Danio rerio: one gene and its partners. Each later gene encodes a partner of the first gene's protein in a complex. Links are inferred from orthologs where the notes say so. Each region holds a gene or a part of one and is shown in the gene's direction. Other genes may lie near its edges. The genes, in order: tmem67, cep290, cc2d2a, ahi1, tmem17, tmem107l and mks1.

The links.
Region 2: tmem67 (region 1) and cep290 share a complex: the UniProt entries of both Homo sapiens proteins name them as parts of the tectonic-like complex. The link is inferred for Danio rerio from reciprocal best matches to the Homo sapiens genes TMEM67 and CEP290.
Region 3: tmem67 (region 1) and cc2d2a share a complex: the UniProt entries of both Homo sapiens proteins name them as parts of the tectonic-like complex. The link is inferred for Danio rerio from reciprocal best matches to the Homo sapiens genes TMEM67 and CC2D2A.
Region 4: tmem67 (region 1) and ahi1 share a complex: the UniProt entries of both Homo sapiens proteins name them as parts of the tectonic-like complex. The link is inferred for Danio rerio from reciprocal best matches to the Homo sapiens genes TMEM67 and AHI1.
Region 5: tmem67 (region 1) and tmem17 share a complex: the UniProt entries of both Homo sapiens proteins name them as parts of the tectonic-like complex. The link is inferred for Danio rerio from reciprocal best matches to the Homo sapiens genes TMEM67 and TMEM17.
Region 6: tmem67 (region 1) and tmem107l share a complex: the UniProt entries of both Homo sapiens proteins name them as parts of the tectonic-like complex. The link is inferred for Danio rerio from reciprocal best matches to the Homo sapiens genes TMEM67 and TMEM107.
Region 7: tmem67 (region 1) and mks1 share a complex: the UniProt entries of both Homo sapiens proteins name them as parts of the tectonic-like complex. The link is inferred for Danio rerio from reciprocal best matches to the Homo sapiens genes TMEM67 and MKS1.

The regions. Positions count from the first base shown.
Region 1 is NC_133191.1:30,700,371-30,704,839, forward strand, and holds the end of tmem67 (meckelin), read left to right. Parts: intron 1-762; coding exon 763-903; intron 904-987; coding exon 988-1,068; intron 1,069-1,176; coding exon 1,177-1,293; intron 1,294-1,369; coding exon 1,370-1,486; intron 1,487-3,277; coding exon 3,278-3,382; intron 3,383-3,508; coding exon 3,509-3,611; intron 3,612-3,701; coding exon 3,702-3,844; intron 3,845-3,926; coding exon 3,927-4,007; 3' UTR 4,008-4,184; downstream 4,185-4,469. UniProt on the Homo sapiens protein: Required for ciliary structure and function. Part of the tectonic-like complex which is required for tissue-specific ciliogenesis and may regulate ciliary membrane composition.
Region 2 is NC_133200.1:18,969,612-18,974,080, reverse strand, and holds part of cep290 (centrosomal protein of 290 kDa), read left to right. Parts: coding exon 1-40; intron 41-1,836; coding exon 1,837-1,883; intron 1,884-2,201; coding exon 2,202-2,345; intron 2,346-2,991; coding exon 2,992-3,045; intron 3,046-3,266; coding exon 3,267-3,287; intron 3,288-4,469. UniProt on the Homo sapiens protein: Involved in early and late steps in cilia formation. Its association with CCP110 is required for inhibition of primary cilia formation by CCP110.
Region 3 is NC_133198.1:2,304,951-2,309,419, forward strand, and holds part of cc2d2a (coiled-coil and C2 domain-containing protein 2A), read left to right. Parts: intron 1-2,536; coding exon 2,537-2,628; intron 2,629-2,712; coding exon 2,713-2,814; intron 2,815-4,205; coding exon 4,206-4,298; intron 4,299-4,469. UniProt on the Homo sapiens protein: Component of the tectonic-like complex, a complex localized at the transition zone of primary cilia and acting as a barrier that prevents diffusion of transmembrane proteins between the cilia and plasma membranes.
Region 4 is NC_133192.1:9,393,962-9,398,430, reverse strand, and holds part of ahi1 (jouberin), read left to right. Parts: intron 1-2,160; coding exon 2,161-2,284; intron 2,285-2,374; coding exon 2,375-2,604; intron 2,605-2,689; coding exon 2,690-2,796; intron 2,797-4,469. UniProt on the Homo sapiens protein: Involved in vesicle trafficking and required for ciliogenesis, formation of primary non-motile cilium, and recruitment of RAB8A to the basal body of primary cilium.
Region 5 is NC_133200.1:30,967,413-30,972,424, forward strand, and holds the start of tmem17 (transmembrane protein 17B), read left to right. Parts: upstream 1-1,970; 5' UTR 1,971-2,046; coding exon 2,047-2,161; intron 2,162-2,791; coding exon 2,792-2,895; intron 2,896-3,005; coding exon 3,006-3,119; intron 3,120-3,194; coding exon 3,195-3,338; intron 3,339-5,012. Other genes in the region: PKc_like domain-containing protein, read right to left, coding at 191-287, 1,899-1,945. UniProt on the Homo sapiens protein: Transmembrane component of the tectonic-like complex, a complex localized at the transition zone of primary cilia and acting as a barrier that prevents diffusion of transmembrane proteins between the cilia and plasma membranes.
Region 6 is NC_133198.1:31,418,938-31,424,160, reverse strand, and holds the start of tmem107l (transmembrane protein 107 like), read left to right. Parts: upstream 1-2,117; 5' UTR 2,118-2,274; intron 2,275-2,397; 5' UTR 2,398-2,403; coding exon 2,404-2,490; intron 2,491-2,582; coding exon 2,583-2,650; intron 2,651-3,273; coding exon 3,274-3,374; intron 3,375-5,223. UniProt on the Homo sapiens protein: Plays a role in cilia formation and embryonic patterning. Requires for normal Sonic hedgehog (Shh) signaling in the neural tube and acts in combination with GLI2 and GLI3 to pattern ventral and intermediate neuronal cell types.
Region 7 is NC_133180.1:61,419,979-61,423,390, reverse strand, and holds the end of mks1 (tectonic-like complex member MKS1), read left to right. Parts: intron 1-2,206; coding exon 2,207-2,310; 3' UTR 2,311-2,506; downstream 2,507-3,412. UniProt on the Homo sapiens protein: Component of the tectonic-like complex, a complex localized at the transition zone of primary cilia and acting as a barrier that prevents diffusion of transmembrane proteins between the cilia and plasma membranes.

The DNA.
Region 1 (4,469 bases):
TCTTGGTGGTACTTTCATGGATCGCTGTTTACATGGTAGACTTGTAATAAGAGTATTATCTTAATCATATTAAACAAATTATTGAATTGGATTAGACTATTAGACTTTTCTGTGGTTACATTTTGTAGGAAGACATGGCTAGGAACTATTCTCTAATTCTGACATAATCAGTTGTGTTGCTGCCTGCTGATGTTGTTTACATGAAGAAATCTGTTACAGGTTAAACAAAAATCCTAATAAACAATTATATTTAAAATTTAAATAGTTTTTTTCTTGTGTTTACATTAATTTTACATTTTAATTACCAAAATTACAAGTATCAGTCTTTTAAATGTGATTAATCGCAATTAATTTAACAAAAAAGTGCGATTTAGTAAATGTTTTTTAAACGATTGACAGCACTAGTTTTAACATTTAAATTAGCCACAGAATTTAAAAGCATATGTGTTACTCTCAACAATACACTGAGAGAAAGTGAAAGTAAAACTAATCTGAATGCAGTACTTTAAATGTCAACTAGGTGGCGGGCTAAACCACAGGCTAGACGCCACTGCACAACAGTGAAAGAGGTTAAAAATTATATGTTTTGGTGGGCTGAATATCTTTATATTTTTGACGTCAGTTGCGGGCCGGAGAGAGGAGGAGGGCGGGCCGTAAATGGCCCACAGGCCGGCAGTTTAAGAACATTGGTTTAAATCCATATTAAAGGGAACCTATACAATTGTTAGTTTAATTAACAGTACATATTGTTTTTTTTTTCAGGTTGTAGGCTTCTCAAATTTGGCTCTAAGAGATCCTTCGTCTAACCTGAATCGATCTGCTGAGGAATACACGCCTCCATACAGCCTCATACTCCGCTATGGTGTAGCTACTGCTATGTGGCTCTGCATTGGCTTAATACAGGTACATACGAAAATAGACAAGAGGCATACTAATTGTGTCACCAATTAGATTCCACATGCTCTTCTTTGTGTGATTGTGCTTCAGATGATATTCTTCACAGTGTTCCATGAACGGTTTGTTGAAGACAAGATTCGTCAGTTTGTGGATTTGTGCTCAATCAGTAATGTAAGTATCCGGCTGGAAATCTTGATGATAAATGTAGTTATAAACCACATCTTACATCATGGTTTAATGTTGTTTGTGTTTCTTTATTTATATGTGTGTGTCATTTAGATCTCAGTTCTGCTGCTGTCTCATCGATGTTTTGGCTACTACATTCATGGGCGCTCTGTTCATGGTCATGCTGATACTAACATGGATGAGATGAACACTAACCTTAAGAGGGAGGCGGTAAGATTTTGAGGCTTACTGTTTATAGTAGTTTTGAAATAAATAAGTTATTTATTGTATTTTTTATGTGTTTTAGGAGAATCTGTGTGGCCAAAGGGGACTTTTGCCAAACTCTGATACTCAGACGTTTCAGATTTCGATAACTAACCGTCTGCGAGCACAGTATGATCGGATAATCGAGCCAATCAGCAGGGTATAAACACAAGCAAATACTATGTCAAATATTTCCCCCAAAATTAGACATGCCTGTTGAAATTGCCTTTAAAAAAAGAAAAGATGATCAGTCACATTGGTGCTTAAAGAAACACTTTCTTTCTTTCTAAAGAAACAGTTTCACTTTCTTTCTTTCTTTCTTTCTTTCTTTCTTTCTTCTTTTTATAAAATACTCATTTTACATGAGCCTAGTGTTTAATGTTAAACAGTCGAATTTAACCATTTTTGAATTAGGGATGCTCATAATAACTGTTTCACTGTTAACCAAAAAAGATGCATTTTTAACCTGTTAATAGTATGAGTCGAATGATAAATAAAAAAAAAAAAAAATATATATATATATATATATATATATATATATATATATATATATATATATATATATATATATATATATATATATATATATATATATTTTTTTTTTTTTATATATATATATATATATATATATATATATATATATATATATATATATTTTTTTTTTTTTTTTTTTAATTGGCTACATAAATGTGCAACACATATTTGTTAACTGGTTGGATGGTAACGTGTGCAACCACACATGCCTACAGACATATTGCCAAAGAAGCAAAATGAAAGAAGAATATTGCTGCTCACAGTTTGACAGACGAGTTGATGCCAAACCAGCTGTTGGAATAAATTGCAGATCGTCTGTGTGTTCCCTCAGTAAGCAGGAAGGCAACAACAACTGAGATGTGAATCAAACAGTTAATTGCTCTCTTCTAAAGAAGACTGGGGCAGTCCCAGCCTTTATACTTAGTGTTAGATGGGCTTTGAGTCCGTGCAAGCATTCAGTTCAGTTCCTCTTGGTCTTTTTCCAACCACCCACGCTCTTGCAAAACAATTTCATTCAGTGCACAAAATGTCAACGTGCCCTATAACATAAGAAACAGTTAAAAAACAACAGGATATAGGAACAGTGAGTATGTGCATATCTCTTTTAATCCCCTCTTCCAGGCTCTGGATCATACTACATTCTCATAAACCCTATTTGTCCAATAGTCACCCTCAGTTCCATCCATAGCTAAGCGTTCATACCCTTTACCTAAGCCATTAACCATTCTATACATTCATTCCATGTACACAACTGTGTTAACCGCATCAGCCAAACTCTCCCACTCTATTTTTTTCTTTTGTTATTAATTCCGGAGGACAAACTTGCAAATAACACCGTTTTTCTCCAGTCTACCTCCGAAAGCAGCACCTCCAAATCACATTCTGTTCAAAGTTTCTCTTTTTGCTTGCTTTTGCCATTGCTTTTTCGTTGGGTTTTGCCAGAGTATATTAATTAACATATTCATACGGGGGAGGAGGCAGGGAGGGGTTTTGCGCTCATGCGCTCAGTTTCACGTTCATTCAGATGTACTAAGAGAATATGCGTGTGATTCGGCGTACGCAGTGTTTCATACATCTAAATTTTTTACTGCGTACGCACATTTACAGCTTTGTGCATACGCAATCTTTTAGTATGATTTCAACGCAAGCCTTTGTACATGAGGGCCCAGGTCTTGGAGGAGGACTTTTAGCTTTGGTTTGCTTATCTAAACTCAGCTTAGCTTAGCATGAATCATTGAATTGGATTAGACTATTAGACTTTTCTGTGGTTACATTTTGTAGGAAGACATGGCTAGGAACTATTATCTCATTCTGACATAACAATCAATTGTGTTGCTGCCTGCTGATACCCATACCACACAAACAGACTCAAAGCACTCTTGTGTAAGTGTGACTAAAAATCTTTCTACTTTTACAGAGAAGAGGACCTTCAAGGTTGGTGGATGCTACAGCCAATCCATGCGAGCAAAGCACAAAAGCATACCATACTATGAACCGATTCCTGGGCTCTGTCATTGATCATGTGAGAACTGCCTTTAACTGATGCTTGTCATTTCCCTTATTAATTTAATACTAATTAAATTTATTAATAATAATATTTGTTTTTTTGTGTGTTTTGCTGTGCACATTCTAAATGCTGCTTCCTCAGGCACATCGTGAGATGGACTACATTGTGAAAGATAAGCTACTGTTTGAGAGAGTCATCGGTATGGAGTTCATAGAGCCGCTCGATAAAAGCATCTTTTATAATGGTAAAACGCTCATATAATCAATACACTTACAAAAAATAAACCCCACTCACACTGTTCCGAGTGAATACCCTTGTGTTTATCTCTCTTCAGATGATTCTCACTCATTCGCTGATGTCCTTTTTTATGGTAATGAGGGTGTGCTGTTGATCTTCGACACGCTCTTTTTCTGTGTGGTTGATCTGGGCAAGCAGAACTTCATTCTCGCAGCTGTGTTAACGTACCTTCAGCAAATGGTTAGTGTGTGTTAATGCACTGGTTTCATTCGATGGTCTTGAGGTGATGATTAACATTTTATTTACATTTGTTCTCTTTCAGATATTTAGATTAATTCGAAATGGATTGGGCCGCAGGAACCTGGCCAACAAAACGCTAGTTGACAAACGATTTCTCATCTAGATCTTCATCTTATTGCACCATGACAGCCTTCAGGTTTCTTCTACCGAATTTTGTATTGTTTTTATATTAATAATAATTTTTTTGTAATTTCTAAGACAGGATGTTGTTGAATCTAATGTATAAATGTTTTTATATTTAAGTATTTTTGATCAATTAAACAAGTTCTTGGTTTTTACACATGGCAGGCCTCATAAGTAAAACTGATGCTACATAAAAGCATAATTGCTTGAGGTTTTTGTTCAAGTTTTTCAGAGCACATTTCATCCTTCATATATGTTTCTTATGTTGGTTGTATATAAGTGATTCTGCTAAAAGTCTTTTTTGTAAATTGTCTTTAAAAATAATTTCCAGGCTCCAGCGAGAATTGAACTCGCGACCCCTGGTTTACAAGACCAGTGCTCTAACCACTGAGCTATGGAGCCGGACTTGTTCTAAGTCTGTGCTTAATACAATATGAATAGT
Region 2 (4,469 bases), on another chromosome or scaffold:
GAGGTTGTAGACAGCGCAGGGGCAGAACAAGCAAGAATTGGTATGTATAATCATTGCTAGGTTTTAAGCATCTCCAGAACAAATCACAGCATGTGAAAACGCAGCATGGAAAACGCAAAAAAAAAAAGAAAGTAGTGATTTCCAAATTTGCTTTGACTTGTATTTCATTGCAGACAATATAAACACAAAATATTTCATGTTTTGTCAGGTCAATTTCAATTTCATTTAAATATGCATCCCTTCCTGTCATTCATACCTGCAACACATTCCAAAAAAGTTGTGACAGGAGCAGTTTAGGGATGATAATCTGGTAAATTGGTTAAATATTGATGTGATTTGAAACAGGTAGTGTCAACAGGTGATTGTAATTATGATCTGGTACAAAAACAGCATCCAAGAAAGGTCTAGTCCTTTAGGAGCAAAGATGGGCGGGGGATCGCCACTTTGAAACAAACACATAAGAAAATTATTAAAATGTTTAAAAACAAGGTCCTCAAAGAAAGATAGGAAGACATTTGAAAATTTCACCTTCAGTGCAAAACATAATTATAAGATTCAGGTAGTCTGAAGGAATTTCAGTGTGTAAAGGACAAGGTTGCAAGCCTAAGCTGAACTATCATAATCTCCGATCCCAGCACTGTATCAAGAATCGTCATTCATCTATAAGTAATATCACCACATGGGCTCAGGACTACTTTGACAAACATTTTCCACAATATGTTACATCCACAAATGCCAGTTAAAACTTTACTGTGCCAAAAGGAAGCCCTATGTTAACAGTGTCCAGAAGTGCTGTCAACTTCTCTGGGCTCTGAGACATCTGGGATGGACCATCACACAATGAAAGTGTGTGCTGTGGTTAGATGAATCAGTATTTCAAGTATTTTTAGGGGAAATTAAATACCTTGGCACTTGGTACTTGCACTTCTGTGATGGCACCATTAATGCTGAAAAGTACATAGAGGTTTTGTAGACAATATGTTGCCGTCTTTTCCAGGGACCCCCATGCACATTTCAACAAGCCAATGCAAAACCACATTCTGAACACATTACAAGTCCTGGCTGCGGAGAAAGAGGATACAGGTACTTGACTGGCCTGCATGCAGTCCGAACCTGTCTCCAATAGAGAATATGTGGTGCATTTTGAGGGCACAAATTGCAACAATAAAGATCATGTGCTGTTGCCCACTGTAAGGCTTGCAGGAAGAATGGGACAAGATTACACCTGAAACACTTTATCAATTTAGTGTCTTCAGTCTGCAAACGTCTTTTAAGTGTTGTGAAAAGGAATGGCACCATACAAAGTGGTAAATGCTTTACTGTTCTAACTTTTTTTAAATGTGTTGCGAAAACCAAACTTGGAATGTGTTTATTTAAAAAAAATAACAATGAGGAACAGATCAAATAATGTGTGTTGTATTGTCTGAAATAAAATTAGTCAATGTAAATTAGACATTTCTTTTTTATTTGGGTTTTCCATAATGTCCCAATCTTTTCTGATTTGAGGTTGTACCATTTCTGTAAATGAATTATTTATAATTAATTATTGTTGTTTTTGATGTCATTCACAACCAGTAGAAAATTACAACAACCCAATCAATTCCAGAGAGACAAAATCAAGTCCCGCCCTACTTTTCTTTTTGAGTTTAAGATTTTTGTGCCCAGTTGAGTTTTGAGTTTGTGTCCACTCAAGTATTCGTCACAGTAGTGTAGAAAAAAAATTTGCAAATTTCATGCCTATTTGGCAAACCTAAGGATGAAATTATCTAACAAAGTCTTAGGTCCTACAGCTTTGTGAGGAGGGTAATTGTTTATATTTTGTTTTATTGATTGCAGAAAATGAGCTGAAAGCCAAAGTCTTAAAGCTGGAAAGTGAGCTGGAGGTAAGGGAGATGTTTGGCTAAGTGAATACAGTTCTAATAATTTGATTGCCAGTACAGTATTTGTTGTTTGTGAGCATGTGCTGTGTCTGTTTACAAGCACCGACTTAAGAGGATTAAAGGCTTAATTCCACGTTTATTGCCATCTATTACTAATCTAATTGTTCTACACATAACATTTCTATTGTTATGTTCATTATTGTGAAAAGAAGTGGAATTTCATGCAACCCACCAGCATCAGAGATCTGTACAGATGGAGAGTTTTGGGTTTTGGGTCTTGGGTCTTGAGCTTTATTCAGATCTGCCTCACTTCCTGTCCAGATGGCCCAGCGTGTGATGGGAGGGGGAGACAAACATTTTCTGCGGGATGAAATTCGCCAACTGGAGAGTCACCTGGAGCGCAAGGAGAAAGAGGTGACCCAACTGGAGAAGGAAATGGGCAAGGAAAGGAAATCCAATGAAGAGGTAGGCAGCACTTTTAATGAAAGGTGTACAAACTAACTTCAAAAACCCTGCAGTCTGTTTTTATCATATTATTATTATTATCATTATTATCATAATTTTAAAACATATATATACAGTTGTTCTTGAAAGTGTACTGTACATGCCCCCTTGCAGAATGCTGACAAATATTAAAATGTATACATTACCAGTTTAACTTAACTGGAACTTACATGGTCATATTTACAAAAAATTACAAAACAAATCTCAAACCAAAATGGAGAATTTAAATATAAAATAAAAGAATATATATATAACTCTTATTAAAATTGTACATTTATCAATGTATTATAATAATTTAAAGTAAAACTGATGATAAAAGGCAAATGGAGTGAGATTAATTTCAATACGTTTTTCATAATAGAGAAAACCATTTGTTTTTGAATGCAAGAAGTCAGATACTGCTACTATAAATATCGTTGTATTATATTATTATCATTGTATGTAGTTAAAACGAGCAAGTTATAATTCAACCAAAATATCATTGAATAAATGTTTTGTTTATAAAAACGTATGCATTTTGGGAGAGAAAATACGGAATAATAATTCTGCAGCTGCATGTGCATGACTGACAAACTAAAACATTGATTGCATGTTTTCCGTCTCCCAGCTGGCTCTTCGTGCAGAAGAAGCAGAAGAGAAGAACAGGAAACTAAAAAGAGAGGTATGTCCAATCCTTTTCGGAGCGTGCATAATGCTTTTTGGGTACATCTTAAATCTTTCTCTGTATGTTATCTGTTCCAGCATCTCTCATATATCACCATTATTCACTTCACTCCTCAGCTTTATTTCTTGTCTGTCCATTTCATTTTCTACGCATGCTTGTTATCATTTTCTGTTACTCGTTTCTTTCCTCGCTGTCATTTGTTGTCAATGCCCATCAAGATAAAGCAGCTTACGAGGAAGGTAAGACCCCAGATTAGCCAGAATTAGAATAGACAGGCTATTTATTTGAAACATGTTTATGACAAATGGAGCGGCACCACTTGCCTCGTATAATATGGCCACCACAAAAAAATGTCTTTGACTGTGATTCTGTTGAAGGCTTTATTTATGAATGGATGATGAATGTTCAGAGGTATGTGATTATTTTCTGGGAAATGAGCTGATAAAATAGTTCCTGGAACTTCTTGACCACACTACTGTTCCATATCACTGATTTTTAATTTTTGTCAGTGGTCCTTCTAGCCTGCAACAGCAGAAAAATCAAAACTCATAAAAACATTGACTGAGCAAGTAAATATATAATAAATATGGAGATAAAAATGTTAATTATTTTTATTTCATTATTCCCAGAGATCTTATACATAAATTGGTTCCACAACTGATATTTTTCAGTACTGTGGTAGGTCTTGAAACAATTAAACTCAAAACGTTATTATTTTTAGAGACTTGTTGCTGCTGTGAGACTCTCTTAAACTTTCTCTCTAATAGAGATTCATTAGTCTTTTATGGCATAGTCAATGGCATAAAAATTAATTTTGTGTAGCACTAACTTCAAACACACTTTTGCTGGAAAACATTTTTTGATATATATAACTGACATGAGGGCCCAATTTACTAACAGCTTTCATCAGTGCTAGTCTTTTTGGCGTTAAATACATTAAAATGTGTTTACTAAATAAGCATTTAAAGAAGAATAGCGCTAAAATATATGGCCATGGCTATTTTTGTACCTGACTTTGCTTAATATGCATTTGTTGGGTTTCCCAGTCAGACACACATTTTATGAGAGGGGATTTAAATGAATCATACAATGTGATTTTGATTGTTTATTGCCTTAAAATCATGTCTTAAATGTTGCACTTGAATTAGCTGCAGTTGTTATCTGAAGACATGCTATTTTTTCTTTACTTCAAGAAAATATGTATTAATGACTTTGGAAAAAAACTAGGGTGAGTCATGTAATACCATGTGTACCATACTCCTTTCAGTACCTCAATAGCTGCATTTTCATTGTCACTACCAATTATTGGCCCTACAATGGAAACGCAATGTGATTTCGTCCTCACCGATCAAGCTTCTGGGTGATTGCCCTGGCCCACACTGGCTCGACAGTGAAATAGTGAAAAAACTTTTGCTAGAGAG
Region 3 (4,469 bases), on another chromosome or scaffold:
GGTGTCTGAATACCTTGTAGCTGTAAAACAAAGAGAAAGCTAAAGAAAGTTTTGGCACTTTCAACTGTTCACTTCATCAATGCATTTGGCTGAGGGTGACAGTGGGGCTATAGCAGGGCCGGAGTGGGACTCATTTTCAGCCCTGGAGTTTCAAGCCAAACCGGCCCACCTCAGTTCACGACTGGTTCCAATTCAGTTTCTAATTTCACTATCACGTCTTTTTCAAGAAAACTGCTGCTTTAAAAATTCAAATGTTCAACAACCCTAACAGTATAATATGTCTTTACAATAAAAATGAAGAAAAAAAAATAATTTTACAGGTGAGACTCGAACACGGGTCCGCAGCGTTGAAACGCAACGTGCTTTCCTGGACCACAATGGCGCTATAACTGTGGCAATAAAAAATAAGTAATGACTTGTGACCCTTAAGACACAGCAGTACTTTCTTTTGATAGCTCAATCTTTTTTTCCCCTTTTTAGATTTCTGATCAAGTTATGTCAGAATTATAAATGTAGTGAATCATCTGATTTTCATTGGGCAGGTGTATTATTCATTAATAATAATTATTAGAATTCTTATATTTACTAAGGTGCCGCGGTTTGGGGTCGATAGTTACATTACATCATCATCATTAACGTTAGTTAACCTGCAGGCTGCATTTTGCTCACAGGGCTGCGAGAAAATAAATTAAAAAAGCAGCGCTGCAGCAAAATAATGAATAAAAAGAGTAAAGCTATGGTCAAATAAACAAATAGATGAAAAAAGTCTGACTGCTGAGAGTGCAAGCAGCTAGGGACACCGGCCCTCACGGCCAAAAAACAGACCGGCCCACCGGGAATTCTCTCGGTCCTCCCGATTAGCCAATCCGGGCCTGGGCTATAGTTATTAGGCAGTAAGGCTATGTAGATCTGAGTGTCATCAGCAAAAATATACATTGATAAATTAGAAGAACACTCCAAAAAATGAACTCCTGTTCAACCTTTGCATGCTCCCTCTGAGCCAAATAATGAGAAAGAACCAAATCTCCTACCACAGCTATGCTGATGACACTCAGATCTACCTAGCCTTACTGCCTAATGACTACAGCCCCATTGACACCTTCTGCCAATGCATTGATGAAATTAACAATTGAATGTGCCAAAACTTTCTTCAGTTAAACAAAGAGAAAACTGAAGTCATTGCGTTTGAGAACAGAGATGAGGTTCTCAAGGTAAATGCGTACCTTGGCACTGAAGGTCAAACGACAAAAAATAAGGTCAATAATCTTGGTGTGACTCTGGAGTCAGATCTGAGTTTCAATAGTCATGTCAAAGCAGTCAGTAAATCAGCATACTATCATCTCAAAAACATAGCAAGAATCAGATGCTTTGTTTCTAGTGAAGATTTAGAGAAACTTGTTCATGCTTTTATCAGCAGCAGGTTGGATTACTGTAATGGACTCCTCACTGGTCTTCCTAAAAAGACAGTCAGACAGTTGCAGCTCATCCAGAACGCTGCAGCCAGAATTCTGACCAGAACCAGAAAATCAGAGCACATCACACCTGTCCTCAGGTCTCTACACTGGCTGCCAGTTACATTCAGAATAGATTTTAAAGTATTATTACTGATCTATAAATCACTAAATGGCCTAGGACCTCAATACATTACAGATATGCTGACTGAATACAAACCCAACAGATCACTCAGATCATTAGGATCATATAAACTAGAAGTTCTAAGAGTTCAGTCAAAGCAGAGTGAATCAGCTTTCAGCCACTATGACCATCACTGCTGGAATCAGCTTCCAGAAATGATCAGGTGTGCTCCAACATTAGGCACATTCAAATCAAGACTGAAAACACATCTGTTTAGCTGTGCCTTTACTGAATGAGCATTGTGCTGCGTCCGACAGATTGCACTATCATGTTTTTCTCTTCTTCTTCATTCTTTTATATCACATTTTACCTGTTTTTATGTTTTTTACGCATTTTTATTATTTGTTTTTATTTTTATTTTACTTGTTTCTTTTATTCTTGTTTATGTAAAGCACTTTGAATTGCCACTGTGTATGAATTGTGCTATATAAATAAACTTGCCTTGCCTTGCCTAAATACAAAAAAGGATTATCTTTAAATAAACTGCACTACTCAATTGAAATATAAAGATGGGGTGGGACATAGAGTAGCTTCTACCCTTTAAAAAACCAATAGTGTTTTGCTTTTCTCACAGCTCTGCCAGTGAGAGCGGTTGAGTTCAAGCGCATCAAATGAGAAGAAGGGGGCGGGGCGTGTCAGATACTAGAGAGCATTTGTTTGGTCAGAAGATTTGATAAGAAACTGAAGTATGAGGAGATGTTAATAAATCATTGATCCATTTTGGTGGAAGTGACAAACTGCAAGCTTTGGATGTATCTCTGGATTATATCTTCTAAATGGGAATTTTTGAGCACAATAGCTTATAGATTTGCTTAAGACTAATATACTGACTAACATACTGCTAATATCTAAAAAAACGTTTTTTAAAATTCATGGGTGCTCATGCTAACAATCTATGCAGATGCTTCTCCTCATACTGTGATGCGGCCTGGATCCAGCCAATCAGAAAAGACTATGAGACAACGCATGACGGAGAAGCTACGAGCAGCGAAGGTGAAGGAGCAGAGAAAAGCACAGCATGCATTTCTCAATATATGTCAGATTATTTAACACTTTTCATCTGTGTCGTCCCTTCAGTCTAAAGCCGCGAGTCTTCTAGAGCAGGAAAGCAGCATTGAGCCTGTAAGTCGCCTGCAGAGTCTACAAGATCGAGACACCGTCACTAGATTCGACAGAGACGTAAGAAACACACCAAAACTTATACATACAGTTGAAGTCTGAATTATTAGCCCCCTGTTTATTTTTCCCCTAATTTCTGTTTAACAGAAAGAAGATTTTGTTCAACACTTAATAGTTTTAACAACTTATTTCTAATAACTGACATTTTTCAAGACACTTTATACAGCTTAAAATGACATTTAAAGGCTTAACTAGGTTAATTAGGCAGTTAATACTATTCACTTTCAGATGTTTTCAAAAATAAATGAATAAAAACTGCTTTTATTCTAGCTGAAACAAAACAAATGAGACTTTCTTCAGAAGAAAATAATATTATTGTAAATACTGACAAATTCCTTACTCTGTTAAACATCATTTGAGAAACATCTGAAAGCCATGACTGTCCACTGTCCACTGTCCACTGTCTGTTTTTCTCCTGTTGAGTTGATTAAAACAGCTCCTCCTGTGGAATCAGGGGAATTAGCATGCTGTAAAAAAGCTTGGACTATATGGAAGGGTCTAGAACAGGGATGGGCAAACTTGATCCTCGAGGGCCGGTGTCCCTGCAGAGTTTTGTTCCAACACTAACCTGAACATGCTAATCAGTGTCTTTAAGATCACAAGAAATCTATAAGCAGGTGTGTTTGATTAGTGTTGGAGCTAAACTGTGCAGGACACCGGCCCTCCAGGACCGAATTTGCCCACCCCTGGTCTAAAACTTTAGATTTTCCCATAGACTGTGACAGGACACTGACCTGGACAGACTGTTACATACATTTAGTTTATTATAGTTTTGAAAACTTTTAAAACATTTCTTTTTTTAATTTTAAAGAAAGGTTATGTTAAGGTTATTCCCCAATTTCTGTTTAACAGAGAGCTGATTTTTTTCAACACATTTCTAAACATAATAGTTTTAATAATCTAATAAACTAATTAACTATATCTAATTAACTAATTTCTAATAACTGATTTATTTTATCTTTGCCATGATGACAGTTAATTATATTAGACTAGATATTCTTCAAGACACTTCTATACAGCTTAAAGTGTCATTTAAAAGCTTAACTAAGTTAATTAGGTTAACTAGGCAGGTTAGGGGAATTAGGGAAATCATTGTATATTGATGGTTTGTTCTGTAGATCATCAAGGAAAAATTGTGTTTAAAAAATTAAAAACTGCTTTTATTCTAGCCAAAATAAAACAAATAAGACTTTCTCCAGAAGAAAAAATATTATCTGACATACTGTGAAAATTTCCTGCTCTGTTAAACATCATTTGAAAAATATTCAAAAAAGAAGAAAGAAATTTGAAGGGGCGAATAATTCTGAATTCAACTGTATACATTTCTTCTAATGAATGTGAAGTCAAGTTTCAGTGTTTAAAACGAGGTCTGATCTGCTCACCTCCTCTAGATGGATCCAGATCTGCGGGCTGATGAGGACTCCTCTTTTGCTGCCAGGCTGAAGTTTCGTGATGCGGCCAGACGTGCGGTCAAAGACAAGCAGGTGAGAAGCTCCCTAAAGGTCTTGTTATATATGAAGAGGTATAAATGCTCCATGTTCATGATTGCCTTTAAGGCCGTACTCACACTAGGTACATTTGCCTCGAACCAGGCCAAAGCACGCTTGTCCCCCCTCCCGTCTCTTTCGACGGCCCGCACTCACACCACAATCGGG
Region 4 (4,469 bases), on another chromosome or scaffold:
TTCCGGGAAATGCTGAGTTTTTTTTTCTCTCATTCGCCGTGCAGTATCAAACATTGCATGAAAAATACACGCTTAGAGCTGTTCCTCGAATCAAATATCTCGTTTGTCGGGAGGGACATTAATGAATTCCCTGAATGAAAGAGCCAAACTGCAGTTAAAGTCCACCATTTAATAATTTGGCAAATAATTCGACTACAGATGTCCATGTAAACACAGTCACATTGTCTGCTGTGGGTGTGTGTTTTGACTCTGAAATTCAGCGTGCCCAAATAGACACTCCCACACCAAGCCGCTTTTCTTCCTCCGACACTCCCCCCTAAACAGAGCTGGACACGCCCACTTTTCTGACTTTTTCCAAAGTAGAGGTGTGAAAACACACTGCTGAAACGAGGGGGTTTCATGGCCCTTTAAAGAAAACCCCTGCATATCGTAGTATACTGTTTAATGGAGACCAGCTGGCGAGTGCAGCCTGAATGCATCCCTCTTCTAGCTTCCTCCTTAGAGCATTCGCCTACCATGCAGGAACCGCTGGTTTGATCCCCGCTTGGAATAAGACTAGTTGAAATATGAGAAGTGTAAATGCTTTTGAATACCTGGGATTTTACTACAGTCATCGGTGGTGTAATGTAAAATACCTTATGTGTAAAAAACTACAGTAATTGAGTAATTTGTTTATATTACTGTTATTGTATTACTACATGAATGAGTTGGTCAGTTGTGAACATTTGACATTATTACAAAACAGTGCTTTCCTACACTTTAACCAGCAGAGGTCCTCATCCAGCTCTGATTTAGAAAGCTTCGTGTAACAAACCTTTTTCCGATACATTTGAGTCGAGCGCTTCACTGGTTCAGAAAGCTTCATTTCTCCATCATTAGTTTCAGACCAGCCCATCTGGCACCAACAACCATGCCACGTTCAAAGTCACTTAAATCACCTTTCCTCCCCATTCTAATGCTCAGTTTGAACTGCAGCCGATCAGCTTGATCATGTCTACATGCCTAAATGCATTGAGTTGCTACTATGTGATTGGCTGATTAGAAATTTGCGTTAACGAGCAGTTGGACCGGTGTCAACTAATCATTACAGTTAACAATTGCTCTGAACATACCATATTTACAATAGTTGCACTTCAATTGGCACACTATGGACTTATACACTCAACCATGTAGTGTAGAAATGGGTTTAGTGTCGTTCTAAATAGACACTAATGTTTTTACTAGACAGAAATACAAACCATTTCCCAGACAACGTTTAACAGCTGCCAAATAGTGAAACAAATGATCAAACTACCAAATAGTACCAGTCATGAGTATAACAGCATTCACCATTGGGAATGTAATCACTTACATAGGAGAATTTTGCTTGCACAATCCAAAATAAATAATGAAATCCAACCTTAGTGCCTAATAGCTCCTCCCCTTCTGCAATGTGACCGTTGAGTGCTTGAAGTATTCAACATTTCACACTTCTGTTTAACGGTTGAATAAGTCTTTTATCCAGGTATTTAAAGTGCACTTATTCTTTTAGTGCACTATTTATACCGGTGGTTTTCAACTGGTTTGGCCATGGGACCCACATTTTTACATGGTCATCAAATCTCGACCCAAAATTTTAGGAACTAAAATATAATTTTGGGAATTATAATTAATTTGTATTTATTTGTTAACATATACAAGTAGTGACAGATAAATGATAAGAAAATCCCCAAGATTAACAAATAAACACTATTTTATTATTGTAATTTAACAATATAAAAAATTTAAATTACAGAAAATATTACACAGTAAAAACGACAAATGTTTGGTTTCTAAAAGTGCTCTTGTGAGAGCTCCTCACTACACATGGCACACTGAGCCTTTTTTGTCGTCCATATATGTAAATCCATACTTGACATGTTCGGGGTCGTACTTGCGCTTCGATATATTTGTTGCTATAATTAAATGAAATTTCACATGTCAAACGGTACGGTTGTTCCCACAACAATTGTTTTTTTTTACCACACACTCTGCGACCCACTAAAAATGTTCCCGCGACTTTTGGGTGTGACCCACCAGTTGAGAAACACTGATTTATACTACAAAATAGCTTAGAATTGTGCATAAGTATGCAATTTGTAATGCACCTAATGTTTTTGTTGTGTTGGTCTGTACTTTTAGTATATGAGATTCCATCTGGGAAAGTTCTGTCATCTTTTAATGGCCATCTGAGTGTGGTTTATGATCTCTGCTGGTCCAGAGATGATAAAGGCCTGTTAACTGCATCCTCTGATGGAACAGTGAGGTAAAAACATTTGACAGTTTTAAAAGATCATAATACCACCTCATTATAATATGTACCTCATAATTACATATCAATGTTTTTCCCTTTCAGAGTGTGGAATGTTGAACGTCTGCAGACTCTTGCGCATAAAACTCTTCCGCACCCTTCATTCGTGTACTGTGCCAAGTTCCACCCTCAAGCCCAGAGTCTGGTGGCGACGGGGGGTTACGATGGCGTGCTGCGAGTCTGGAACGTAGATGTACAAGATGTGAATGGTCAACTTTTGCAAGAGTTTGACGGACACAAGACTTTCATCAACACTCTGTGTTTTGACCCTGAAGGTACAGAGGAAATTGGTGGTTTAATAACTGAATGGATGTTAAAGCTGTGATATGAGACTATAGTGATGTGTTGGTCTTTACACAGGGAGCAGAATGTTTTCTGCTGATAATTCCGGACTCATCATTGTGTGGGGAACGAAAGTTATGCCTGGGTCTCGCCGTGGAGCAACCAGTCAGTGGAGCATTGAGAGGGTAACAGTTTTCAATTAATGCATGGAAGTTAAATATTCATTTAAAAGATGAACATTTCCTGACTATTTACTCTCACTCAACTGGTTCAAATGTAAACGTTTATGAGTTTCTATCTTCTGTTGAACACAAAACTAAATATTTTAAAGAATGTTGGAAACCATTGACATTCATACACTGCAAAAATGCTTTTCTTACTTAGATTTTTTGTCTTATTTCTGGTCCAAATATCTAAAAACTCTTTAATCAAGCATATTTTTCTAGACAAGTAAAACATACTGTCCTATTTTAAGATATAATATGCCAAAATTTAAATAATCTGCCAATAAAGTAAGCAAAATAATCTTATGTCAAAAGGAAAAACTAGATTATTTTGCTTGTTTTAAGGAAAAACTCATTTAATATTGGCATATTATTTCTGAAAACAAGACAATATGTTTTGCTTGCCTTGAAAATTCTTCTTGATATAAGAACTTTTAGATATTTGGACTAGAAATAAGACAAAAAATCTAAGAAAAGCATTTTTTGCAGTGTAGTAGAAACAAAAATACTAGAGGTTGATGGCTGTTTTTCTCTCTCATCATAACAGTGTTTAACAGACAGAAGAAACTCAAAGTAGAGATCTGCGCGGGACTAAATTTTGAATCCCGCTCCCGCCCGCATCCGCCAGGTTTTAGCCCGAACCCGACCGCTCCCGCTCCCGCTCCCGCTTATATTAAGCACTTGTTGTCTCGCTGCCCGCCCCGCCCCGTTTTCTATCCGCTGCGCCCGATGCCGCTAAAGAGCGGGGGGAAAACAAAACCGAAAATCACCCAGTTATACAGTCCAGACAGCCTATAACAAGCTGTCTGTATAAACACACACACGCACAGCACCAAGCACACACACAGAAACAAAGCTTTCTCTCTCTCATTCGCGCGCGCGCCCACTAACACACACACATAAGCACCAAGCACACACGCACGCACGCACGCACGCACGCACGCACGCACGCACGCACGCACGCACACACACACACCTCTCATTCGCGCGTGTGCATACATATACACACACACACACACACACACACACACACACACACACACACACACACAGCAACAAACAAGCTAAACACAGCATCGCGCTATTTCATTTACACACATACATACGCGTGCTCACTCGGGAGTCGGGAGCGAATATTGCTAGACAGCCCGCTCCAGTCCCAAATTAAACCCATTACCGACCGCTCCCGTGATATATTCTGAAATTTATACCCGCGCCGTAGAAATCTGGTCGGGTCCTGCGGCGCCCGCAGGACAGCCGCGGGAATGCAGAGCTCTAACTCAAAGCTCAGGTGGAGGATTAGTAAATGATGTCTTATGTGAACTGTCCCTTTAAAAAAAATCAACTGAGGGTTGAAATACACTATATTAATATATTTTAAAACGCTGCGCACCAAGCAATTTTGTGTTCAATAGACGTCTAATAGACATCTAGCTTGGATGTTTTGGCTAAAACAAGGCTAAATTTGGGCTGTCAGTGAAAATAAATAATAAATGTTCAAGAATAGGCCAAAATGAGATCAAATAGACTTATTATACTCACTTGGTGTGTGTAATTATTTATTGAAGTGTATTTGATGACTAGTCTAGTTTTGGCTATTATACTAGATTTTTACTCGCACAGAGCCCAAATAT
Region 5 (5,012 bases), on another chromosome or scaffold:
ATCTGGCAAGAATGTCATATTATTTCACCATCTGTACACCAAAATAAATAGTGAATGTCCGTGTCCGTGGGTGGGGCTATGTCGGTGTGGTAATGCGGGCTGATGTGGCTACAGTGCCAGGGCTGAATTTTTGTCCCAGTCCGCCCCTGACAACACAAGTGAAATTTTATTTTAGAGTCTTTATTTCTACTATTCTCCAGCTCTTCCTGGAAGGTGCTCGCTGTGTTCCTCCATTGCTGCATCTTTTTCTGTGCCTGTAGCATCTGGACTCCATCACTTCACAGCATCTGAGGGAGAAGAATATGATTTTGTGTGATCCTAACAACTAAAAAATTACAACAGACCAAGACTTTTTGTCATGTTTCATGAATGCACAGTAATGTGCAGAGCTGGGCCGTGCACAGGGGGGTGGCCTGGTGGCTAGAGCCACTCCCCCTCTGCCCCCATTGGCAGAGGTGCCCCTTTCAGCCTGTAAATAAATTTAATTTTTTCTGTTGTTGGAACACTTTGTTGACAAAAAAAATTCTCAAAAAACAATGCCTTTACAAAAAAGAAGACAGAGACAGAGAGAGAAAGAACGAAGGAAGGCTGATAAAGGTAGTTTAACACTGAAAACATTCATAGCTCCAGCAGGTAAATCATCATATGGAACATTTAGCTGTGTTTGTCTAATTAAGTAGGCCTATATTTTCCATAATAATCACTATAATCACAGGCTACAGCAAATCATTTTATTAAAACCATGTCAACAGTAGGCCTATAAATAGTAAAAAAAAATGCAATATTAATATTCTAAAAGTTAATATAAATTCATGGTGTATAATATTAAATTAAACGTGTAATATTTATTTTTCCATTGAAGATGAGGCAGAAGCAGGTTCAAAAAATGAGGGAGACCACCGAGCATGAGCTAAATCACACAGGTACAGGTAAGACTGTTAATCTGGAAGGGATATGCTAGAGTGTCATACAAAGATAGATGGACATTTAAATAATTTAAATATTGTAAATGCTTTGTTATTCATTCTAAGATGAAACTCCCTCCGAGTCAACTCAGCAAAGTAAAGGTGATGGAGACAGAAAATGTTCAGATTGTCCATCCAACAGTAAATAGTTTCTGTTATTATCCGCAATGTGTAAATGTGAATCACATACATGTAAGATGAGCTTATCAAGATCTTTCAGGACAAAAAAAGTTTTGTTTTTAAAGGTACAGGTAAATATAAAAATGTAAAATGGTAAATAGTTCTGAAATTATTACAGAGTGTACTGTTTTTTCTTTTAATTGTACTTTTACAACAACTAGAAAATTTGTATAAGCAAGAACCCACCCACTTAGTGCCCCTGCCCCTCAAAATGTCTGTGCACGGCCCTGAATTGGTGGTTCATTCTGCTGTGGTGACCCCGGATTAATAAAGGGACTAAACCGAAAAGAAAATGAATGAATGAACCTTGGGTTGCAAAAAAAATATATCTTTTCATATTGTTTCTCAAAAGTGAAGAACCCAAAAAGAACCTTCTTTAAAATAAAGCTCTAAATTCTAATAGAAACCCTGGATCTCAAGACTGAATAAACTGAACATTGAGTAGTGGGCAGGGTTTTATTTTAGTTCTCATACTTGACGTCATCAGAGAAGGACCCCCACACCAGAGCAGAATCAAATAGGAGGTTTTTGATTAAAGATTACCTACAATAAAAATGATCAGCGACTTTACTTAATTGTTCACCTTAACACTACCAATGTCCTCTAGCAAAATAAACATTGTACATTTTTTTACTTCATGCTGACTTAAAGTGATAGTTTAAGCCAGGAATATTAATATTATTCTTTATACACATTGCAGGATAAAACTCAGCATAATGTATCTTATTTCGCCATCATACAAAGCAAGCAAACCTGTTAAGTGCAGCTGAGCAGTGTGTGTGAGTGAGAGTGAAAAACATCCCCCGGTGGTCACAGCTGGACCATCACAACCGCTCAAGAAGATCCGCCTTCGTTGCTACCATAGACTGGTTGCTACGGACACACGTCTGCTTCTCCCAACATGGACCTGCCTGAACCCATCAGGCGACGGCTTGGAGATTTCTCCAGAACCGTGTTTGTGGACCAAAGCCGTACACAACCCTCTTTCGAAGAGCACGCAAATTTTCTAGACCAAAGTAAGTGTGTTTGAGCTTCCATTTGATCTGCTACGTGAACGTTAGCTGTAGGGCTAATTCATCTGGTTAGCCGAGTTGTACGATTTCATGTAGCTTTTGCTAGTAAACATATTTTTTTCTGACGTCATATGCAGATATAATAATGCTTTATGGTAGCATTAATCTTAAAAGGAAGTTGATAACATTTGGCGTTATTCCTGTCTGGGACCTACGAAACTACGTTGCGTTACCAAAAAGCATAATAAATGGTTCGTTTGAATCGGATCTTCTTAATGGACCTTTTCATAAAACGTGATTAGTCAAAAAAACTACTTAAAGTAAGGCAACTAGATGATTTAATAGGTTGACGGAATCGAAATATTTTGGATATCTTTAACCAAGTTTAGTTAGGTAAAACAGCCAAGTGAACAAAGTTACTCATTTAAAACGAACTGTTCAAAAGAACCGATTCGCCAAATGTTATTTTACTCCATCCTATACAGGCTCCGAACACTGATTTATGTATTATTATTATACATATTATATATCTGTGGTTCCGAATCAGGTTATTTAGGATGCCCAAGATTAGTAAAAATGAACTTTATTCAAAGCTAATTTGTCATTTTAATTTTATGCACTATTATTTCTCAGATAAGGATGTAGTATCGAGTCTCCCTCTTCAGATGTCACTCTACTTTAACATGTGGTTCTTTCCTTTCTGGTGGATCAGTGAGGTTGTGATGCTTGACCTAAAGGTGATTCTCGTCTTTGTCATTTTTAACATTTCAATATGATCTTATGGCTGTTTAATCATATTACTGTTGTTAGATATTACAGCTAATAATCATTGTGCTTTTTCTTCTAGTACTCAGCCCTTGCAGATTATTACAAGTTCATCCTGATCACAATTCTCATTGTAATGACCCTGATTGAGGCTATTAGGCTGTATTTGGGCAATGCTGGAAATCTGCAAGAAAAGGTCAATCTTAATTTAATGTAATATCATGTAATATCCTATAATTGGTCCCATTATGCATCTGTTGTTTTTCAGTAGGTTCCAGAATTGGCTGGATTTTGGCTTCTGACTTTTCTACTTCAGTTTCCTCTGATTTTGTTCCAGCTCTTCAATGAGGCTGTTCTTGTTCAACCACTAGAGAGAGGAGTTCATATAATACTGGCCTTATTTATCTTTGCTGAGGTATCTATCTGTCTATCTTACAACTATTTTAAGTGACTATGTAGAATTTTTAACTCCTCATTGTTCAGAATTTGAAGGGATTTCAGTTGTGTACCAACAGAACAGTGTTTTATAAAACACTCAAGACACTTTGACAAAAAGCCATTATTTTGTGCAAAACACAGTGATTAGAGTTTAAGAACAGCAATGATATTGGTTGTAACATAAAGATTACAACTTTAATTTCCAAAGCCTACAACTGCTTTTGTCTCGATTGATTTTACTACATCTTCAGTACAGATTTTCACTCAGGAGGGAAGCACGAAAGCCATATTTTTATGCAGATTTGAATGAAACACTCCACTTCAGGAGGAACAGGCTCAACTTATAAGAGTTAAACAGAAAAGATTTGCCATTTTTTAATCCTTTTAGATGATCACTGGGTCTGGTGAAAACCCTTTTAGCTTCGCATAAATCATTAAATTAGATTAGACCATTAGCATCTTGCTCCAAAAATACAAATAATAACTGGAGATAATTTTTCTATTTAGAGCTTGACACTTTTCTAGTCACATTGTATACTAATGCTGTTCACACCAGACGTGGAAGGAGCGTCAAGCGCAAGTGATATGTTGATATGGCTAAGAACTATACTCTCATTTTGGTGTAATAATCAAGGGACTAGCTGCCATACCAAGGCTGCAGCAGGGACAATGTTAATATGTAGCACTGTTATCTAGATGGGAAATATTTTTTAGAATAAGAGTATAGTTCCTAGTACATAATGTAACTATAGAAGAGTGTGCGTGTATGTATGTATGTATGTATATATATATATATATATATATATATATATATATATATATATATATATATATGTGTATATATATATATATATATATATATATATATATATATATATATATATATATATATTTATATATAAATATAAATTATCTTGTGTAACTTATATAACTTTAAGTTTTTGTGCAAGAGGCTAATGGTCTAATCTGATTCAATGATTTATGCTAAGCTAAGCTAAAAGTGCTCACACCAGACCTGAAGATCAACAGAATTGAATAAAAAATGCTAAAACTCAACTGTTTAAACTTATTTTTTTTTAAATGTTGAGCGTTTCATTTAAGGCTATGATCTTAAACTTTTTTGATGAGGATGATCTGTTTAAATTTAATTTTGAATACATTGCCTGGTCTTTCTTTTTTGTCACTTCTCCGATTTCTTCTTTTAGCATTTAGACGCAGTACTTACAACCTGGGGTGCTTTTCCGAAAACAATTGTTAGCAAACCAAGGTCACAAGTTCCATCGTTACAAAGATAGTTTGTTGATTTGGCGGTTCCCAAATCCGTCGTTCCATTGAACATTCGCAAACTGCATCACAAACTTGTAAGCTTACAACTAAACCTCTAGGGCTGTAGTTAGATGCATTGCTCCTGGTTGTTTTCTATTCCCGTTCACCCTCCTATGCCTTATACATTTAGAATGTTCAAACATTTAAACTTGGAATGATTAAAAAAACATTAAAGTTATCTCTCTTATGTGTAATTTGCATTAAAAGTATTTTACAGTTCTTTGATCTTCATATTGACAATTGAGTTGTCTTCGTGGTGCACTTTGAATTTTTTTTTTGACATTTTGAATACAGCCATGGCTCCTGACGAAAGCTACATGTGACT
Region 6 (5,223 bases), on another chromosome or scaffold:
TTATTTTAAATGAGTCTGATTTTTTTTATGTAAATACTGTCACTCGATAGATAGAGGACTACGCAGAAGACAGCGGTCAGCAAACCAAGGCAAAAACTAGTGTAAATCAAGTTGGGTTTTTGGCCCTTGGTAAGAAAACATTTGGGCACCCCTGCTTTAGGTAGCCTATATAAGAACACCTAAAGTACAGAAATATAATTTATTTATTATTATATATACATACAGTTGAAGTCATAATTATTAGCCCCCCTTTTTTTTCTTTTTTTTTAAATATTTCCCAAATGATGTTTAACAGAGCAAGGAAATTGGAGAAAGTCTTATTTGTTTTATTTTGGCTAGAATAAAAGCAGTTTTTAATTTTTTAAAACCCAATTTTGGGACAAAATTATTAGCCCCTTTAAGCTAATTTTTTTTTCGATAGTTTACAGAACAAACCATCATTATACAATGACTTGCCTAATTACCTTACCCTGCCTATTTCACTTTATTAACCTAGTTAAGCCTTTAAATGTTACTTTAAACTGTACAGAAGTGTCTTGAAAAATATCAAGTAAAATATTATTTATTCTCATCATGACAAAGATAATATAAATCAGTTATTAGAAATAGGTTTCTAAAACTATTGTATAGAAATGTGCTAAAACTATTTATATATATATATATATATATATATATATATATATATATATATATATATATATATATATATATATATATATATATATATATATATATATATATATATATATATAAATATATATATATATATTAAACAATTCTTTTCTTCATGGTTTTGTATCTAAGGTGTGCCAACCTTGTTTGTTGGGTTTCAGATTTATTAAAAATATATCACACCCTGCAAATAAAATGGCAAATGTTGTCACCACAATGTAAAAAAAAAAGTCTTCCTAAAACTGTCTATTCTCAATTTCTTAACTCTAAGGTTAATATTTTACTGCCTTCCAGAACAGCAAATGCCCTTGATAGCAAACCACTGAGTTAGTATTTATTTATTATTTACTAGACCAACGACGTCTGGCTGTAGGCTACAGTAAAAACTAATGATTCATTTATTTGTTGATTTGTGAATGCTGAAAACCTGCAACCATTGACATCCATATAGGAAAAACAAATGCTATGGAAGTTACAGGTTTCCAACTTTCTTTAAAGTATTGCCTTTATCGCTTAACAGAAGAAAGAAACTCACAAAGATTTACAACCACTTGAATAAACAGCAAACACGTTTTTATATTTGGGTGAGCTATCCTTTTAACTTATAGGGCTCTTATTACACACGTTTTATGCACTTACTATAATACCAATAAATTATGCATAATCACATGCAAAAACCCATAACCATAGTAAGTACTCCATATCGTTAATTAATGCCACTCAGTACTTTATGCTATAGATACACTGTAAAAATGAGACCGTAAAACAAAAAACAACTTAGTTTGTTTAAATGCATTTCATTTCGAGATTAGCACTGTCGCTTCACAGCAAGAAGGTTGCTGGTTCGAGTCCCGGCTGACATTTCTGCAGATGCTTTTTTCCCTGTGTTTGCTTGGGTTTCCTCCGGGTACTCCGGTTTCCCCCACAGTCCAAGGACATGTGCTATAGGTGAATTGAATAAACTAAATTGGCCATAGTATATGAGTTTGAATGAGTGTGTATGGATTTTCCCAGTGCTGGGTTGCAGCTGGAAGGGCATCCGCTGTGTAAAACATATGCTGGATAAGTTGGCAGTTCATTCCGCTGTGTCGACCACTGATAAATAAAGAGACTAAGCTGAAGGAAAATGAATGACTGAATAAAAGGCTTGTTTAAGACACCTCGAACACCTTGATAGTGCTCCCTATTGACCACAATAATGAAGTCTTTGAAATAAATTTTTTCCAATTGTCTTACTACTTGTCTGCGCTGCCATGTTCCAGTTCACCATTTTCAAGTTATTTCACCTTTAGTACCTGCTCTCAGCCGAAGGAAAATGAATGAATGAACATTTTGAGACATTGTAAAACCAAGTTGAGGACCAGTCAGAAAGCGACTCCTTCCAGCAGGTGACAGCATTGAGCTACTTGTTGGTCTGTTTTGACCATAACCCATTCGCCAAATAGAAGAAGAGTGTTGTCGTAGCAACCCGAAGCTTATATCGAGCGATAACTGTCCTCAAGCTTGATAAACTTATACGCATAGTAGCCTTATATACAGTGCTATATCTACTTTACTGCTCACCATTTGAAAAATCAGGTTTTAACAACTAACGCAAAGCTGGTACGTATACCATTTTGATATACAACCTCACGTTTTGTGAAGATGAACACGTTAAACCTTTAACTGTTAGTCATCCACTTGCACAGTTCAATCTAAGTTATTATGTCTTTCTTCTCTGTCTAGTGTTCAATGTCGGTGGTCAGCAGTCTGGTGCCTGCCCGTTTCCTCACTCTCATCGCGCACCTTGTAATAGTGATAATCATTTTCTGGTCTCGGGTAAGAAGTGTTCTTGTGTGTGTAATTGTTATTTTTATATCACACAACATCACTGCAGCCAGCTGTGTGTTTAAATGTGGAATGACCTACAGGAGTACAGTGTCCGAGCCTGTCTACCACTCGACTACACTAATGAAGAGTACACAGCAGAGGACACACGGTTGGGAAACACACTTTCTCTGTTCTGTATTGCTTCACAGTGGCTAAATGATAATATAATTATTTCGGTCATGTAGTGAGACTGAATAGTATTTTTTGATTCAACTTTATTGTCATTATACATGTACAAGGCAACAAAATGCAGTTGGGGTATACCTAGGAATGCGATAGCATCAAGTGCATGATATATGCACAGTGCTCAGCAAATGAGTACACCCCTTTGAAACAAAACAGATTTATTAAACAGATATATTTATTCAAATAATATTTTAGTCATCAAACATATTTAGAAATTGAAAGATATTACAATTACATTCAAGCAAAATAATCCAAAAAAGAAAAGAAATTACAACCTGCAAGATTTCAACTAAAATAGTCTTTTTTTTTTTCATTCCGCAATACAGAATGTATTTTAATTGTTAATTAAATGTACCTTTTAATTTATGAAACAAAATACTTTAAAATCTTTTGATGGCTTTTCTTGTTTGACCCATTTACAGCATATTATTGTTTGACTGATAGTAAATTGTACATTATTTATATGTAGATGTGAATAATGTTATGGAGTCAGATATAGTAAGTCCTGTTCATGACGCTGTCCTAACCATTGTTTTTGGAATACAGGCTTGTGGTGGCATTATCCGTGACTCTTGGCCTGTTAGCCATCGAGTTGGTTGGGTTTCTCTGTGGAATCTCTATGTTCAACAACAACCAAGCTCTTCTGTGTATCCTTACCAGTAGCACATCACCACTATAGGTTATATATATACTGTAGGTGTTGATGCATATAAATTGTGTATTATTTTCTTATATTTTCATGGATCGGAGTCAAATCTTCAACTTATGATTAACGCAAACAGCTCCCATATGTGTGTCTAGTACTAGTTTCTTACACATCTCATCCAAAGTCTTCTGTTTTGTTCAGATTTTTGACAGTAAATTACCTGAAGTCATGGGTCGTAAAAAATTATATGGAGCTGTAATGTGGTCAAGACCTACCTGGTATATAAAGTCAATCTAGGGCCATATATACAGTTGAAGTCAGAATTATTAGCCCTTTTGAATTATTACCCCCCTGTTTATTTTTTCCCCAATTTCTTTTAACGGAAAGTAGATTTTTTTCAACACATTTCTGAACATAATAGTTTTAATAACTTATTTCTAATAACTGATTTATTTTAGCTTTGCCATAATGACAGTAAATAATATTTGACTAGATATTTTTTAAGACACTTCTATACAGCTTAAAGTGACATTTAAAGGCTTAACTAGGTTAACTGGTTTAACTAGGCAGGATAGGGTAATTAGGCAAGTTATTGTATAACCATGGTTTGTTCTGTAGACTATCGAAACAATATATAGCTTAAAGAGCAATAATTTTGACCTTAAAATGGTGTTTAAAAAAAAAAATGCTTTTATCCTAACCGAAATAAAACAAATAAGACTTTCTCCAGAAGAAAAAACCCTTTTGGAAAAATAATAATTCAAAGGGGGGCTAATAATTCGGACTTCAACTGTACGTGCAAAATAAAATAAAACTTTGCAAACAACAAATAAAGTATTGAGCAAAAAATAAATAAATGTAAATGAAAAAAATAAAAAATACATTTTGCTAACAAAAATAAAGAACTGCAAAGGGGAAAATTGAGAAATAAAAATGAAATTTAAACAAAAAAGGAACTGCAAATAAACATCAAGCAGTAAAAAAACAAAACAAAAAGATTTGCAATAATCAAAAAAAAACTATATATATTTGCAAAACATTTTTATAGCATTGCTTTTACAAAACCTGCCCGGTCAGTTGCAATTGTCATTTTAATTAGATTTTAGTCAACTGTGAGTTTGTGATGCTGTTTTCACTTTGTACTTCACGTTTCTGCGCCTTTCACTTTGTGGCCCTGATTTGACAAGGGGACTGAGTCAAGGGAACTTAGAGGTTTACCTAAGGCCTGCCGTAAACGCCCAAGTTCCCTTGACTCCACCCCTTTGTCAAATCAAAATGAGCATTGCAGTTGACTGGATGGGTTAGGTCAAGGCTAAAAATGTTTTGCAAATATTTATATATTTTTTTTTTCAGTTCTTTTTTTGTTTGCAAATGTAATTTTTATTTTTCAAAAATAAATTTTCCTTTGAATTTTTAAATTTTTGTTAGCAAAAACTATTTTTATTTCTGAAAAACAAGTTTTTGCTTGGGCGAGGCAGTGGCGCAGTAGGTAGTGCTGTCGCCTCACAGCAAGAAGGTCGCTGGGTCGCTGGTTCGAACCTCGGCTCAGTTGGTGTTTCTGTGTGGAGTTTGCATGTTTTCCCTGCCTTCGCGTGGGTGCTCCGGTTTCCCCCACAGTCCAAAGGCATGTGGTACATGTGAATTGGGTAGACTAAATTGTCCGTAGTGAGTGAGTGTGTGAATGTGTGTGTGGATGTTTCACAAAGATGGGTTGTGGCTGGAAGTTGGCGGTTCATTCTGCTATGGCAACCCTGGATTAAAAAGGGACTAAGCCGACAAGAAAAAGAATGAATAATTAAAGCTTTTGCTTTGCGATTTTTAGAGATTTGCATTTATTTTTTGCTCAATAC
Region 7 (3,412 bases), on another chromosome or scaffold:
GGAAATTTTCAATGGCTGAACAACAATTCTGTGCATAGAACCCATTAATAAAACAACAAAATCTACATAAGCTTTGCGTGATTAAAATACTTTAAAAACAACATTTTCTGTCTAAAAGAAATACTTCAGCCATGGTGTCATCCTCCAGCGTGCAAAAGTTACTTCAATATTAATTCAGAATTTTAAAAACTTTTGATTCAGCATTTGTTTTTACCACTGTCACTCGTATCCACATGGCCATGGCACATGTGTACATGCATTGGCGGATCTGCGTGAACAGAGGTGCGCAATTGTACAAATCTATATTTGTTGACGGATTTGTTGACAGTTTGGGCTACTTATCAGAATTATGGGAATTGTCGGCCCGACAAATTTTAATTGTACGAAAATTTTTTAGTCTTATGCCTTACCCAGAATATACAAATGCATATAAATACAATTAGTTCAATAGGGTATATGCCGAGCTAGTGCAGTTCCCATGCTGATACACTTCCGGTGACCTGTTATTGTGAACTTTTTACCATTTTACACGGTTCCTTATGCAGCATTAATGTTGCAATGTCATTAAAATACATTCAGTTAAATAAACTTTAGCATTTATTTAGTTGCTCAAGCGTAAAACAAGACAAAAAGCTGTTCACTCGCACGCGCCCGTCAGAATCTGCAGGCTAACGCAGAAGCTCCATTGAATATACTGGGGTAAAATAAATGCTCATATTATAAATATATGGCGGGGGAAAATGTAATTTAATGCAATGCTTCTTGTACAATCTGAGACCCACTTTAAATCGGATATCACTCAGCTAGTGGAGATCGCTGATTTTAAAGAAAACAGACCTTAAACGCACCGGATTTTGCATTGGCATTGAATTCGCCGGAAGCGCTTAACCCAGGTTACTGGCAAATAAAAGTCCTACTAGCATGCTTCGGCATATACCCCATTACTTTAATCCTTAATATTGGACTGTGAAGACTTTCCACCAGCACAACAAAAATGTTTCTTTAGACAATCACATACTGCACCTTTAAATATTTTATTTTATGTAATAAAAATGGTTTAAAATATGAAAAGCATCATTGGTTAAGACAAGGTAAACCAGTGTATATCAGGTTAAACTATTTATAAAAACAGTTCTTAAAAACACTGGGTATATAAGGTGTCATGAAAATGTGAAAAAAAAAATAATATAAACATTATATATAATCTCTTAAATATGTAATGCATAATCTAATCTAATATATATATATATATATATATATATATATATATATATATATATATATATATATATATATATATATATATATATTTATATATATATATATATATATATAAATACCGTCATACCGCAATAGTAATTTTTTTCAATATTACCGTAGGCGAATGACTCAATTAAACTTTATTTCTGAGAAATGTTTGTTATATATATATATATATATATATATATATATATATATATATATATATATATATATATATATATATATATATATATATATATATGAATAAAATATATTTTCCTACTTATGTAAAGCTAAAACATTTTATATTCAGAAAACACATGGCTGATTAATTACGAATACATTTATGTGTACACCATTATAGCATTTTTTATTTTAATTTCATTTTAACACCTTTTTTAGTTCTTTGAAAACCTAAATCTATTAGTAGTTATAAAAATGTATTATTACTATTTAACGATATAATATAATATAATATAATATAATATAATATAATATAATAATAACATCACTTCTTTTTTTTCAAAGTTCAGCTCTCTTTCAGACTAAACTGTTTCAGGAATTTCAATACAAAAGGAAAAAAAAAGTTTTTGTTTTGTTTTTGTTACATTAATATTGGATTATTATCCCTTTACAGCCATATCCTGTACAGTTTTGTTGTCTGAGTGGCAGTCGTTTTGAACTAAAATGGTCCTATGGTCCACTCCACTGGACATGCTGTAAAATTAAAAATTAAAACAAAATGTAAACACTCTAAATTGGAGAATTTTTTTAACCCAAAGGATCTAGGAAACCACAGAAAAAAAAAGAAAAAGAAAAAAAATTCGGGTCTCAGAAGGATATAATATAATATAATATAATATAATATAATATAATATAATATAATATAATATAATATAATATTACAACAGTACAGAATAGCAACATGTTTCTAAAAATCTGCTGTTTGTTTGTGATTTTTCAGAAGCGTTTCAGAGGGCCCATAAGCGCATGCAGGAGGCCAGAGAGACTTTACCCAGAGACCTCATCAACACGTCTGCACTATTAAACTCAGAGTCTTCTGCTTAGGAACATCAAAACTGATAAAACATATGTAATAATGCTGGTCATGGTATTTGTTTATATGTATAATACTTTTTTGTTGATTTTTTTTTAGTTAAGCTCTGAGAAAAGAAACTAGAAATTAGTAAAGCTCCCATGTTAGTGAAGACCTAATAAAGACTTAATAAACTTAATAAAGACATGGCTATTGAATTATCCTAAACTGCTTAGTTAAAAGTGTTTTCTAAGTACATGTACCATGTTGATAAGTGAAGTTTATTCATAAACTAATTTCGAGAGGAGCACGTGATTATGATTGAACACGGCTGGTTCTGCATTAGCATGCTTGATCTACCAATCAGGCCATTCCTAACCACTATAAAGAGCCAGTGTTTTTCCACTACAGTCATCTTCGATTTGAAGAATACCCCCTTCCACCCCAACCTTTTCACCTTTCCCTCCATAGGGCAGCACGGTGGCCCAGTGACTAGCACTGTCGCCTCACAGCAAGAACATCACCGGTTCTAGTTCCTTAACAGGCCGTTGGTCGTTTCTGTGTGTAGTTTGCATGTTCTTTCCGTGCTTGCGTGGGTTTTCCCCGGGTTTTCTCCAGCTTCCTTCCACATTCCAAAAACATGCACAACAAGTAAATTGATAAATCTAAATTTTCAATACAGGTAATCTAATAATGCAGCATATCTTTTAATAGCATTCAATTTTTAGTCTTTAGCTATTATCAAGGGGGAGTTGTCGAGATCTACCTGAGCTCGAGGCTCCCCTCTCTTCCTCCAAACGGGAGGGAGCCCAGGGCTCAAGAACCTTCGAGCTCAGGGCTCTCTCCCGGGACAGCATGCCAAACTTGCTTATAATCAATCATCAGCTAAGTGTGAACTCTTGAATGATTTATTATGGGGTTTTTTTTTAACTGTAATGTGCACTTATGCTGTTACGTTCATTCATTCAGAAAGGCTCCCAAAGCATGCGTCTGTGACTGAAATGCGACCTCCGGTGGACTGTAGCAGACTCTGAAATGAGATGCGTATTCAGAGTTTCACATGATACAGTTATTAATTAGCAAATAATATAAATATTAGGAAAGTAAACATTAGGTGAGCAGGTTATATTGTAA